3 linked regions of the Sus scrofa genome follow. The protein of the gene in region 1 binds, or shares a complex with, the protein of each later gene. Links are inferred from orthologs where the notes say so. Each region holds a gene or a part of one and is shown in the gene's direction. Other genes may lie near its edges.

Region 1 (4,231 bases):
CTCTTGTTGAAATTCTGGATCTCCTTGCTACAACTTGTCTTTACTCTACCCCTCTGTAGGGTCCCAGGAGCCGTTTGTATTCTGCATGTGTTAATTCCTCCTGATCTCCATAGACTGCATTAAGTGCCAGCATCTTCTTGAAATCTCAAGCTTGAGAGTTGGAATCCAGGTCAGCTTGCAATGATTAAAGTTATACTTTTTGGATCACTCCATAATCTTTCTCTTATGATAACAATGGTTTTATCTAATACTTCTTGGAGCAAAGCTTATTTTGATTCTTCTTTTGGGTTACCTCTTCCCTTTGGCTGACAGGAGAGATATTTTTTAAGATGGTCAAAATACTTGTATGTTCTGTCTTAGCCTGTCTGTGGAGGAAGAAGCAGGACACTCCACTGTGTTTCCTGAAATTTTTACAACAGGGAGCTAAGAAGACTGGGAAGATTGAGTTAAATCTCTCAAGTTGGTCTGTGGAGGTGCCGGCAGTTGGAACTCCTCCTGGAAGTGTAATGCGAAGCTCAAAGTTCCCAAGTTTCCGTATGGAAGACCAGAGAGCAGTATTGCCTGCTTAATAAGAAACCAAAATAATGCATGTTGGGAAGAAAGAAACCTGCTTCTCCAATTAACTGTAATAGATAACGAATATGTATTTTCTAAATTGTAACAACTTCATTTTCTTCCTCTCATTCTGATATTAGTAAAATGCCTGCTATGAAAGAAGCAAACGAATGTAAATGTGTACATCCAACGATAATGTCTCACTAATAGTTTGATCTTTGAAAGGATTCCACTGAGCAGGTCGTTTTGTTCTTCTAGAGAATACATGGGACCAAAGGAGGGTCGGTAAACAGCCACCACTACCTAAATCCCTCAGCTTTAAGTGGCAGTAGTTGGATGTAGCTGCCTGCAAGTCCGCCTGTGCTTTAAAACGAGTAAAAGGAGAGGCTGAGAAGGATGACAGGTACCTAAGTGAGAAAGGGTCGAAAAGCAAACATTATGCAAAGGGCAGGAGGCGGCTGTTCCACTGCCGGCGGCACAGGTATTAAAACGATCTGAAATCCATAATCTGAAAACTGCTCTTCTACGTGGAAATCAGCGGTGAAACCGATACTTCCACGTTCTTTGGAGTAACGGTCAGCCCAGGGATTCCATGAGCACTTCACTTGGGTATCTAACGCTCTGACCTCTTGGAAAACTGTTACTTTCTGCGGCCTTCATTTGTCATAGAAACAAACCTCCTTCGACCTGAGAAACTGCTAAAATTCTTTGCCTCCCCGAAAAATGAAAATAGTTGGGAGCCAAATAAGAACCTCTACAGAGCGAATCAAACATACATAATTCCAATTTAACTGCCCGCGCTCAATCCGGGTTCTTCGGCCACTCCTTGGGCGGAAGGGGCGGAGACTACATCCTGCGTCATCTGCCAGTGCCGGAAGTGGGCTGACACACAGCGGCCTCAGGAATCTGTTAGGGAGCCTCGGGAAGTTTCTCCGTGTTCCGTGGGTAGGGGTTTGGCGGATTGGCGGTTTGGGATTGGAAGGTGAGTGTTTGGGCCAAAACTGGAAAGATACTAGGGGTTACAGGAGGTCCGGTGTGGGATTAGAGTCGAGAGAGGCTGGGGATGGAGTCGATGCTGTTAGCCCTTTGGCTTGTTTAGCTGTTGGGTTGTCTGCCTTTTCAGCTGTTAGGAGTTATTTCATTATTTTTCCCTTTTCTTCGGTTCGCATGTTTTCCTGTTGAGGGGTATAGTTTTTTGGCAATTTCTTGCTAAATTTTGGGAAAATTTCACTTGTGGGAGTTCCCCTTGTGGCGCAGCGGAACTGAATCAGATGAGTATCCTTGAGGATGCGGATTCCATCCCTGGCCTCGCTCTGTGGGTTAACGACCCAGCGTTGCCTTGAGCTGTGGTATAGATAGCAGACGGGGCTCGGATCCCGCGTTGCTGTGGCTGTCAGGCCTATTGGACCCCCTAGCCTGGAACTTCCACATGCCGCGGGTGGAAAAAAAAAAAAGAGAGAGAGAGAAAGAAAAAGAAAAATTGGAGTTCCCGTCGTGGCGCAGTGGTTAACGAATCCGACTAGGAACCATGAGGTTGCGGGTTCGGTCCCTGCCCTTGGCTCAGGGCAGGGTTAATGATCCGGCGTTGCCGTGAGCTGTGGTGTAGGCTGCAGACGCGGCTCGGATCCCACGTTGCTGTGGTTCTGGCGTAGGCCAGTGGCAACAGCTCCTATTCGACCCCTAGCCTGGGAACCTCCATATGCCGTGGGAGCGGCCCAAAGAAATAGCAAAAAGACAAAAAAAAAGAAAAAGAAAGAAAAAGAAAAATAGTACTTGTACTCGTGTTAAATGAAAACCAGAGCTTCGCAGTCAGATCTAAATTCCTCTGCCTTTTAACTACTGAATAATCCTGACCAAATTAACCTTCCCTAAATCTTAGTTTCTTGATCTGTTCATTAAGAGTAATTATTTAACCGCCTAGAATTGTTGTAGAGATTATAATGAAATAGCATGTGTAAATATGAAATCTGTAAAGTGTTTATGGAGTCCAGTTTGGGGGTAAATGCAAAATGCTTATTTGTGGGTTTGATTCATTCTTTAGAACCAGCGGTAGGATTTTTAAAAAGTACGGATTAGGAATTGGGAACTTTTTAGCTTTTTAGCTTTCCCTGAGAAAAATAAGGCATGATTGGATTTGTGAGGGGCCCCTTTAAGATGTTCAGTATTTGAATCTGTGATTTCAGGGATAACGATGGACACACAGAAGGACGTTCAACCCCCAAAACAGCAGCCAATGATATATATCTGTGGAGGTAAGAGTGGCACTTACATAAAATAAAAGTATTTTACCTCAGTTTTTTAAAAAGATAGTGCATTTATCTTTATTTTACTTGAGTCCTTCCTCTTTGAAGTTAGCGCTTTAGCAACTATTTTAAGATTTCATTTTCTCTCCTAGAAAAAGTGCGTTGCCCACCACTCTTTTCTTTCTTTTCCCTTAATATGTTGATAATGTTGAGATTTAGTATACATATTTTAGTGCTTTGGGGGAAAAGTATAATTAAGATAATTTGCTTGCCTCTTATTTCTCTTTTAGGCATTGAATAAATATGTTTTCTCTTTTAGAATGTCACACAGAAAATGAAATAAAATCAAGGGATCCCATCCGATGCAGAGAATGTGGGTACAGAATAATGTACAAGAAAAGAACTAAAAGATGTATCCTTTTAACTGTGTTTTCTAAATATGAGGTAGGAGGAAGTGGAGAATAATGCTTGGGTTGATAGTCAAAGACTAGCTGTTAAAAAATGGTAAAACTTGGATTACTTAGTGAAAAAATAAGCATGGAGTTGCCATCGTGGCTCAGCGGACACGAATCTGACTGGCATCCATAGGGACGCAGGTTTGATCCTTGGCCCTGCTCAGTGTGTTAAGGATCTGGCATTGCCATGAGCTATGGTGTAGGTCGAAGATGCTACTGGGATCCTGAGTTGCTGAGGCTGGTATGTATGTAGGCCGGCAGCTACAGCCCCCATTCGACTCCTAGCCTGGGACTTTCCATATGCTGCATGTGCGGCCCTAAAAAGGCAGGGGAAAAAAAAGCTTGATTAGCATTGTTATGGACCAATATGCCGGTACATAGGCATATACTAAATAATCTAAATACTAGTTAATTTTGGTTTTCATAAGTGTATCTTTCTTGGATTCTATATTTAAGTACTCATTCTTGAGCTTTAGTTCATGGACACACTAATTATACAGGGAGAAATAAAAATATTGAGACGTATATTACCTAGTGGAGAAAGTGAGGCTTACAAATTAGTAGAAAGTAAATTGTTATGTAGTAACTAACAGTATTTTTTAGATTGCTAAATTTTTACCTTTACCATCACTTAAGTATTTTTTGGTGTATTGGTCTTTTGTATCATGAAAAGGGGACTAATAATTAACTAGTTTATTTTTAGTTCATTTCTAATTATCATAGTAAATAGTGAATTTCATTCTTTTGTGTATTTTAAATTGATGTCACAAAGAGAAAGTGACTTGGAAGAGCTAAATTTTTAATGAAATCTTTAATTACTTTTCTTTTCCTTAACTCAGTTTAATACAGTGGTGGTTTTTGATGCTCGATGAAACGTGAAATTCAGAGGAATATCTTCATTTGGATTTGCTGTTGATGTTGTATAGCTTTTGATTTGTGTACTTTAAGAATACAGCTGTGTATCATGATTTCATTTTA
Region 2 (4,036 bases), on another chromosome or scaffold:
TGAACTTCACTAATACCAACTCAGAACCAGAGGCCTCAGGATACTTTTCCACCTGTCAGAGAGCCAGTCTTGCTTACCTGATCAGCCACCTGCCGGCTCAGCTGTCCCTTAAAGCCCTTCATGCCCAGAAACTCCCCATCCTCTTCTTCAGCGGCAGCTGCATCAGCATCCACTTCTTCCTCACGCAGGCGCTGATGCAGCTCACCCATATCCTCGAAGCTGGAACCTGAAGTATCATCCATGTTCTCCATGTCAATCACAGCTGAGCCCCCACCCTGTGAAGACAACGGATCCCACAGTGGAGGACCTTTCTGCTCCATCCGTTATGTCCTTCTCTGTTCACCGGAGAGCTTGGAGCTTTGTCCTTTCACTGCTGGAGATACGGCTTAGAATTACCATAGACCATGCCACTCCCCTCCCCTCAACTGCTCTCAGAACCTTTGTTTGGCTCTCTTTTCCAGCCTGGGAAACCTACTCCCTGTCTTCCATACGTGTCCTTTTCCTACCAAAGCCACAAAAGGCTGCAAAAGTGCCCATTTCCTTTGTGTTTTCCACCCCAAAACAAGGCTGCGCGCACAGTGTGGTTTTGGCCAGTGAATCCCGCCTACCCCCCATCCCACCCTCGCCCCTGGCCGTGCCCGACCTTCTAAGTTGTGCGGAAAGCAAGAGCAAGGGGGCTCAGAGGTACTAGTGTGGACCTTTTAGGTCCGCACTAGTTCCACTGCCTTTCACGTGCACGAAGACCCAAAGAAGACAAAAAGTTCTGCAAACGGAGCAGACTTCCAAGGCTCGAAGGAAGAGTCCCCATGACACTTCAGGACAGCTGCAGGCCGTGGGGCTGCTGGCAGCCGGAGCCGTGGGGCGCTTACCTGGATGTTTTCATCGAATCCTCCCCATTCCGGGCCAGCCCCATTTCGGGCGCCGCCGGCCGGCGCCGCCGGAGTTGCCATGTCCCTCGAGGGCTCCCGTCGCTGAAGCCCGCGCTAGTCCCGCGCGCTGAGGAGGAGTGGGAGAGATGAGGGCCTGACGGATGGACAGGTCCAGGGACTAGAAAGAAAGGTGGGATCGGCCGGAACGCAAAAAGGAGAAAACCGGATGTTTGGTTAAAACTGACTTCCGGTATCTGAGGACGTGGACGGAGGCGGGGCAGATTCTCGCGATATTTAGGATTCCGGGAGGTGGTGTGTTGCCACGGAGACGGGGCAGGGAGACTAGAACGCACGCGCAGGCTTGGTACTCTAGTCACATGGTGGAGTTGAAGATGGCGGCGGCTCAGGCTGTGGAGGAAATGCGGAGCCGCGTGGTTCTAGGGGAGTTCGGGGTTCGCAATGTAAGTCTTGTGGACTTGACCTCGGGAGGAGAAATCAGAGCGGAGCAGGGATGAGTTAGAGTCGGAGTGGGGATGAATTTGGCCTCGCTGCTCCTTCGCGAACAGGTTCGTTTCTCTTTGCTCTAGGTTCATACTACCGATTTTCCCGGTAACTATTCGGGCTATGATGATGCCTGGGACCAGGACCGCTTCGAGAAGGTGGGTAGAGCTGGAGGTGTTCAGAGAGGGTATGAGGATCGGATCTTGCACTCTGAACATCCTGTTCCTCGGAAACTGCCTTGGGGGTTCGCTCTGGATGTGTTAGGCACTCGATGTGCACAATTTCTGCTTTGTTCTACAAGCTAACGAGATGGTTCGGTCTTTTTGGAAAAGAGTACAGGTAACACGACTCTAGTGAGTTGTGGTAAGGGCGATTAACAGCAATAAAGATTGAAGCTGCACTCCCTTTCGGGTGGGACTCGAACTCAGCCAAAACCCCCATTGGAACTTGAACCCATGGTCCCTGACGTAGGAGGGGACTCAAACCCACTGTCTTAATTGATACCGCTCACCTGCTATCGTCAGGACTTCCTGAGCCTCAGGTTTTGTCTCGTGGGAAAAAGAATTCAGCGTGAGGCAAACCGATACACAATAAGTGAATTTATTAGCATAGGACGCTTGTCAGAAATACTAATGAGCAGGCAAGGGAGTGCGACCCAGAGAACAAAGAGGGCTACATTTTTATAATCAAGGTGAAAGTGGGGCGGGGAGAAGACCACCTTATTTCTCATTCTTGGGTAAGATGGTCCAGGCTTGCATCATCAGTTCCTCCTTTGACCCTATATGGTCTAAGGGGGAGTGTCATGGGCTGTTTAAATCATAGGTATATTAGCAGAAGCGGTAACATATGCGAAAATGTGGTAATTCGTTTCAGGTTGCAGAATAATTTCCCCTTTCACCTAGTTTTTTCCCTCTTTCACCTTGTCTACATGCAGCAATGCCAGTCTTCAAGGACCAATAACTCTGACTTCATGTAACAAGATTGAAACCCCATATCTCTTGTCTTGGGTTTTAACTATCAGGACTTGTGGCTTGTTTCTGGTGCTTAGATACACCTGGTCTTCCTTCAAGGTGGTGTAGATTGTTGCTAAGTTACTGGATTCTTAAGTGGTCGGTTGTTGGCTTACAGCAGTCTTCAAACCCCCTTAACATTTCCTTTTTGTCTTTAAACCCTAGTGGGACTTCTAAACTATGTGATTATCCTACTCTATCCCCATCATTCCTTCCTCCAGCTGTTTTACTCCATTATGCTTAAATGAGCAAATAGGGAGAGACCGATCATTAGCTGCTTCCTCCTGAGATGGGTCATAGGTCTGTCTAGAGAAGGAGCATAACACCTGTCCCTCCTCTGTTGGGAAAATAATAAGCCAATGCTGCTTGTTAGTGTTAACCTTGTGGCTTCTGTTGATCTTCCGCATCAGATGATAAATCTATTAAAGAAATCAAGAGAAACGCAGCAGTAAGCAATTAAAAGAGATTGTAGCCAAGATTTTGGGGATCCATTCCTTCATTCCTCCAAAAGCCCTCCCAAATCTGGAAGAAGGCAACTGAAGGTCTCAATCTGTGTTTGTGTTTTAGCACTTGAAATACATTAGCAGATTCATCAAGAATAAAAGCACAAGATTCCACCTTAATGATGGCACAGTTTCCTTCCTGGGAGGCTGTAATAATGTCTAAGGCTATCCTGATTTGTAGAATGGCTTTTCTCATTAAAGTCATTTCAACATTGGGTAAAGAAATAGCATCCAGGAGTTCCCATCGTGGCGCAGTGGTTAACGAATCTGACTAGGAACCATGAGGTTGCGGGTTCCATCCCTGGCCTTGCTCAGTGGGTTAAGGATCCGGCATTGCCATGAGCTGTGGTGTAGGTCACAGATGCGGCTTGGATCCCGCGTTGCTGTGGCTGTGGTGTAGGCTGGCAGTTACAGCTCCTATTAGACCCCTAGCCTGGGAACCTCCATATGCTGCGAGAGCGGCCCAAGAAATAGCAAAAAAGACAAAAAATAAAATAAAATAGAAATAGCATCCAGCATAGTCCACCTTAATGATGGCACAGGTTCCTTTCTGGGAGGTTGTGATAATGTCTGAGGCCATCCTGATTTGTAGAATAGCTTTTCTCATTGACGTCATTTCATCGTTGAGTAAAGAAATAGCATTACCTTCTTTTTTTTTTTTATTTTTTAAAAAAATGACTTTCATTCAAAGTCTCCTGTGTAAATTTTGTTAAAGTTTCAATATGAGCTGCAACATTTTCAAGACCTAAACCTGGCGTAAAGATGTTTAGCAAGTGATCATACCAATGAAAAACAGACCAAGTCCATTTTGCTTTTAGCAAGGGGAAGTTGGCAGGAGAATAATTCAGAGGATAATAATCATAATGCATATTTGTACTATTCTTTGAATGTATTTTGTTCCTTAATAGTTAAAGCAGATGTACTTCCTCCCTCTCTATGTGCTTTTTAGGGCCTCACCCTCAGCATATGGAAGTTCCCAGGCTACAGCTGTTCTCAGAGCTACAGCTGCCTGCCTCCGCCACAGCAACTTGGGATCCGAGCAGTCTACACCACAGCTCATAGCAATGCCGGATCCCTGATCCACTGATTGAGGCCAGGGATCAAACCTAAATCCTCATGGATGCTAGTCGGATTTGTTTCTGCTGTGCCACAA
Region 3 (4,311 bases), on another chromosome or scaffold:
CTCTCTTAACCCCTGTAAACACACAAACACACACACACACCTTTTAAGGATTCCCATAAACTATAGGTCAATGCCTATGTTTTACTTTAAAGCTCATTACTAGGGTGATCTAGGCTATGTTAATCCTCTTCTCTCATGGTCTCCTATTTCAGTTTATTCCTTCTATTTGATCAAAGCTTAAGGCAGTCTCGTTATCCACTTGTCCTTTATATGTTTTGAGGCTGTTTCCCAAGCTGTGACATAAGAATGCAATCTTCCCTTTCAATACATGCCTGATCTCCCTTTTTTTCCTATTGGTTTTCCCAGCTAATCTCAAAGACTTGACAGCTTTTCCCAGCCCTATGCTGCACAGACACAGAACTTTTTAAATTATGTGTATAACTCTGATGAGGGATTCAGCACATTTTTTTTGGGCCATTCTTACAATATCTTACTGTTTGTTTCTTCCAGCAAATGTTCATTCAGCAGCCAAAGCCTATTGAAATCTGACAAGGTGTCAGCACTGTGTTAGATGCTGTTAATAAAAAATGAATAAAACACTTTATCTGCCTAGGATGAGCTCAGAGTCTAGAAAGCAAAGGCAGCATGTAAACATGTATATAATAGTGCATTGTGGTAAGTATCACACCCTTCTTTCTGATGTGAAGGAAAATGAACTTCCTCTGGGGGAGTTGATAAAAGCTCTCAGAGGCAGTGAGATTTCCATTAGTCTTGACACCTAAGTAGGAGTCTGCCAATCAGAATTCAAGGGTGAGAATAAGGGTAAAGGAAGAAGAGGGCATCTGAGTAAAGGGAATCCAGTGTATAGAGGCCCTGAAATAATTGAGGAGCATGCTGATGTGTCTGGAGAGGTCTGATGGGTTAAGTGTGGTTGGATGTCTGGTGAATTGAGTGGCAGGGATGAAACTGACAGGGCCTGTGTGGAGAGGATTGAATTTTGTTCTAGAGGCAAGACTCTTTAAGCAGGGGAGTGTAACAATCAGATTTGTCTGTTACATGTCCCTTGTCATTGATCTAATCACAGGGCTTTGGGTTTTGGAGTCTGAAGGGGTTGTGCTCTGCTTGTTTAAATGGAGGTGCGCAGGGTAGCCTTTCAATTGAGACCGCTGTGCTAATTCACTTTATTACTACCCTGGCCTCCAAATGCTGTCTCTCTCACCATGGCCAGGGTTGGACATATACTGACAGCCTTTGTCTCTCTGAACTCCATTTTTCTGTTTTGACACCTTCCATTTTCAGTTACACTGACGTGATCTTTACTGATCTGTATTGTTGACGTTTCCGCCCATCCTTTCCTGTGTTTTAAACACTCTGGCACAGCCAACAGCAGCAGCAGCAGCAGCAGTAGCCACGCCCACTCAAGCAGGCGCCCTCTCAGGAAATTTGTCCGCAGCAGCGCGCCGTAGTGACGGTAGCGGCGCGCATGCGCAATTCTCGACTCCTGGCGGCGTGTTCCTCTTTTCCTGGGGCTCCCGGCATCCCGGTCGGTCGGTGGACGCCGACTCTGCACCGCTTCCCATTCGCGGCCTTCCCTGTGCTCCGGTCGTTCGCCCCGCAGTTCACCCAGCTCCCGGGGCCGCTGCTCAGGTTTGTACGCCTCCGCTGGCGACAGACCCATGGCTGAGCGCGGGGAACTCGACCTCACGGGCGCCAAACAGAACACTGGAGTGTGGCTGGTCAAGGTAAGGTTTGCGCGGCTCCTGCTTGTGCTCCTCCTTAAAGTAGTTGAAGTGACTTGAGACTGTCCCACGCCGTGTACCTTTTAAACTTCTTTACGGTCGTCTCGTTAGATCTTCGCTTATTGAGAGGCAGGATTCCTTGTTACGCTCGTTTGCAGACAAGGAAATTAGTTGAGGGACGCCCGATACCTTTTAGCCAATTAGGAGTCTGAACCTGCTTGTGATGGATCTCCTTTCCCCATAACCTGTTTTTTTCGGGACCCTATCTTGATGTTCCCTCAATGTGACCGATGTATTTTTTACCCTATACTGAAGAATTTCTGCGTCTTTTCTTGGTGAAACTGATTTTAGTTATCAGTCTGTGTAAGGAAGTTGGGTGTCTGCTTCTTGTACAGTTTTTTTTTGCAGCCATTGGGTAGAACTGACCCCTGCGTACCCCTAAAGTGTTCTTTTAGGTTGATGGCTGTTGTGGAGTTCTCAGGAGAGCTGAGAGAGCTCTGAATTCAAGGAAGAAGAGGCCATGGACTGGAGAGTTCTTTTAGAGTACAACTGGATCTCCTAAAAACTAATTGTCAATTATTTTTTTTTGTAAAGAGAGCACTTAGCCCTTAGCAAAGTATTTGTACTTTACTTTTGCATATTGGAGAGTGTTGTCTCTTAGGAGGGTTTCATAAGGCATGTGTGTTCAAAGTGTGATGATGACAGTCTTTGAAACTGAAATGAGATGTAGGGAAATCTTTGGTTTGTTAAATGTATTCATTTATTTTACTTTTTACTTATTTTCATTTTTGGCCACCCCGCGGCGTATGGAGTTCCAGGAATCAGATCCGAATTGCAGTTGCAACCTGAACCGCAGCTGAAGCAATGCTGGCTCCCTAACCCACTGTGCTGGGCCTGGGATCGAACCTGCTTCCCAGCACTCCCAGGATGCCACCGATCCTGTTCTGCCACAGAAGGAACTCCTAAATTTTTTTAGACTTTGATCACATGACTGAGTTCTCATCAGTTAAATGTGAGCGGCCCTTCCTGTTTATCTGTCTTAAATCTCTTTTATTCACCAGCATATTAAACCTGTGTTATAGTCTTCAGAGCACTTGTCAGAGTCTTAAGTGTGTCTGTGTTCAGTGTTGTTTACCTCCCTTTGATTAGCACACACACAGTACCATTTCAGGAGACTAGGATCCTTGCCTGTCACACCCAGAATTGTATTTGACACATAGTAATAGTTCAGTAGATACGTGATGAATGAATGAGGGAACTCCTCAAGCCTAGCTTTAGGCTCTGGCATTCATTTGACCTGTCACAGCTATATCAGTACCATGTAAACTGATGGAGTAAGTGTCTCTTTTCTCCTGCCTACCAGGTGGAGGGGAATCATTAGGGAGGAGATGTCTGTTGGAGACTTAGAGCTTAAAAAAATGGTGAAGCTTGAGATGATGTGTTCGGGCTTGGAGCACCATAAAATGCTCAACAAATTTGGTGTTTGCCTTCCAGAGAGTTGGTTCGTTGAACCGAGGCCACCCATGGTATCTCTGTAGTATACCATGGCGAGTGGAACCAAAATCCAGGAGTGAAAATGCCCAGTAAGATGGTGTGTCCTGGAAAACAGAGATCACTGCGCCTGGAGGAGAGGATTGGGACCATATACTCATAATGTCACACTGGGAGATGGAGATGTCTTAGCTCTACCAGAAGTGAGGGACCTTTTGGAGGGTTTTAAGTAAAACAGGGAGGCACATGATTGTTTTAGGAAAAAAAAAAAAAAGCTTGAGGGGAAGATAACTAGTTAAAATTAGATAATTGTCACAGGCTCATAGGCATTTGATAGTTAGGTCTGAGAAGTTAGGGAAATTTCTCCAGCAAAAAGTTGTCAGGATATGATGACTGAGTGAAGGAGTATGTGAAAGAATGTAATGAATTGAAAATGAGCTTAAGAAATTTAAGTGTTATATTTGGCCATTAGACTACATTTTACCACTTTAAAAACACCTCAGCTCAAACCATTGATTTGTTCTGTTTCGTGAAGGTAGTTGTAATGTTTTGTTTATTTCTTGCAATATCATTGTTTCCTCCTATCAATTTGGCATGTAGTATTTCTTTTTCTAAACTTACATATCAAAGAAAATAACAGGCTTGCAATTACTGCATCTTTCCAGGGTGTGAAAGAAGTTTTTCTTTTTTTTTTCTTTTTTTTTTTTAACCAGTTTTTGTCCTTTGACAAACTTTGCCTCTGAAAGAGGATAAGAATTGCTAGGAAAGGAGTTCCCGTCGTGGCTCAGTGGTTAACGAATCCGACTAGGAACCATGAGGTTGCGGGTTCGGTCCCTGCCCTTGCTCAGTGGGTTAACGATCCGGCGTTGCTGTGAGCTGTGGTGTGGGTTGCAGACTTGGCTCGGATCCTGTGTTGCTGTGGCTCTGGCGTAGGCCGGTGGCTACAGCTCCGATTCGACCCCTAGCCTGGGAACCTCCATATGCCGCGGGAGCGGCCCAAGAAAGAGCAACAACAACAACAACCAAAAAGACAAAAAGAAAAAAAAAAAAAAAGAATTACTAGGAAATACTTTGTATTCTAAAATCTGTTCATGTTCCCACTATGACAACTTTTATTTCTGCTTTAATTAAAGGAGTCCAA

The links. Proteins that work in one complex are often made in the same cells at the same time.
Region 2: POLR2K (region 1) and POLR1C share a complex: the UniProt entries of both Homo sapiens proteins name them as parts of the pol I pre-initiation complex. The link is inferred for Sus scrofa from reciprocal best matches to the Homo sapiens genes POLR2K and POLR1C.
Region 3: POLR2K (region 1) and GTF2F2 share a complex: the UniProt entries of both Homo sapiens proteins name them as parts of the TBP-based Pol II pre-initiation complex. The link is inferred for Sus scrofa from reciprocal best matches to the Homo sapiens genes POLR2K and GTF2F2.

What each region holds. Positions count from the first base shown.
Region 1 is NC_010446.5:36,849,788-36,854,018, reverse strand, and holds the start of POLR2K (DNA-directed RNA polymerases I, II, and III subunit RPABC4), read left to right. Parts: upstream 1-1,396; 5' UTR 1,397-1,537; intron 1,538-2,738; 5' UTR 2,739-2,746; coding exon 2,747-2,807; intron 2,808-3,117; coding exon 3,118-3,210; intron 3,211-4,102; coding exon 4,103-4,125; 3' UTR 4,126-4,231. UniProt on the Homo sapiens protein: DNA-dependent RNA polymerase catalyzes the transcription of DNA into RNA using the four ribonucleoside triphosphates as substrates.
Region 2 is NC_010449.5:38,510,339-38,514,374, forward strand, and holds the start of POLR1C (DNA-directed RNA polymerases I and III subunit RPAC1), read left to right. Parts: upstream 1-1,182; 5' UTR 1,183-1,246; coding exon 1,247-1,330; exon of another isoform or gene 1,331-1,402; coding exon of another isoform or gene 1,403-1,435; intron 1,436-1,456; coding exon 1,457-1,528; intron 1,529-4,036. Other genes in the region: protein YIPF3, read right to left, coding at 78-275, 870-950. UniProt on the Homo sapiens protein: DNA-dependent RNA polymerase catalyzes the transcription of DNA into RNA using the four ribonucleoside triphosphates as substrates.
Region 3 is NC_010453.5:22,142,068-22,146,378, reverse strand, and holds the start of GTF2F2 (general transcription factor IIF subunit 2), read left to right. Parts: upstream 1-1,457; 5' UTR 1,458-1,616; coding exon 1,617-1,682; intron 1,683-4,311. UniProt on the Homo sapiens protein: TFIIF is a general transcription initiation factor that binds to RNA polymerase II and helps to recruit it to the initiation complex in collaboration with TFIIB.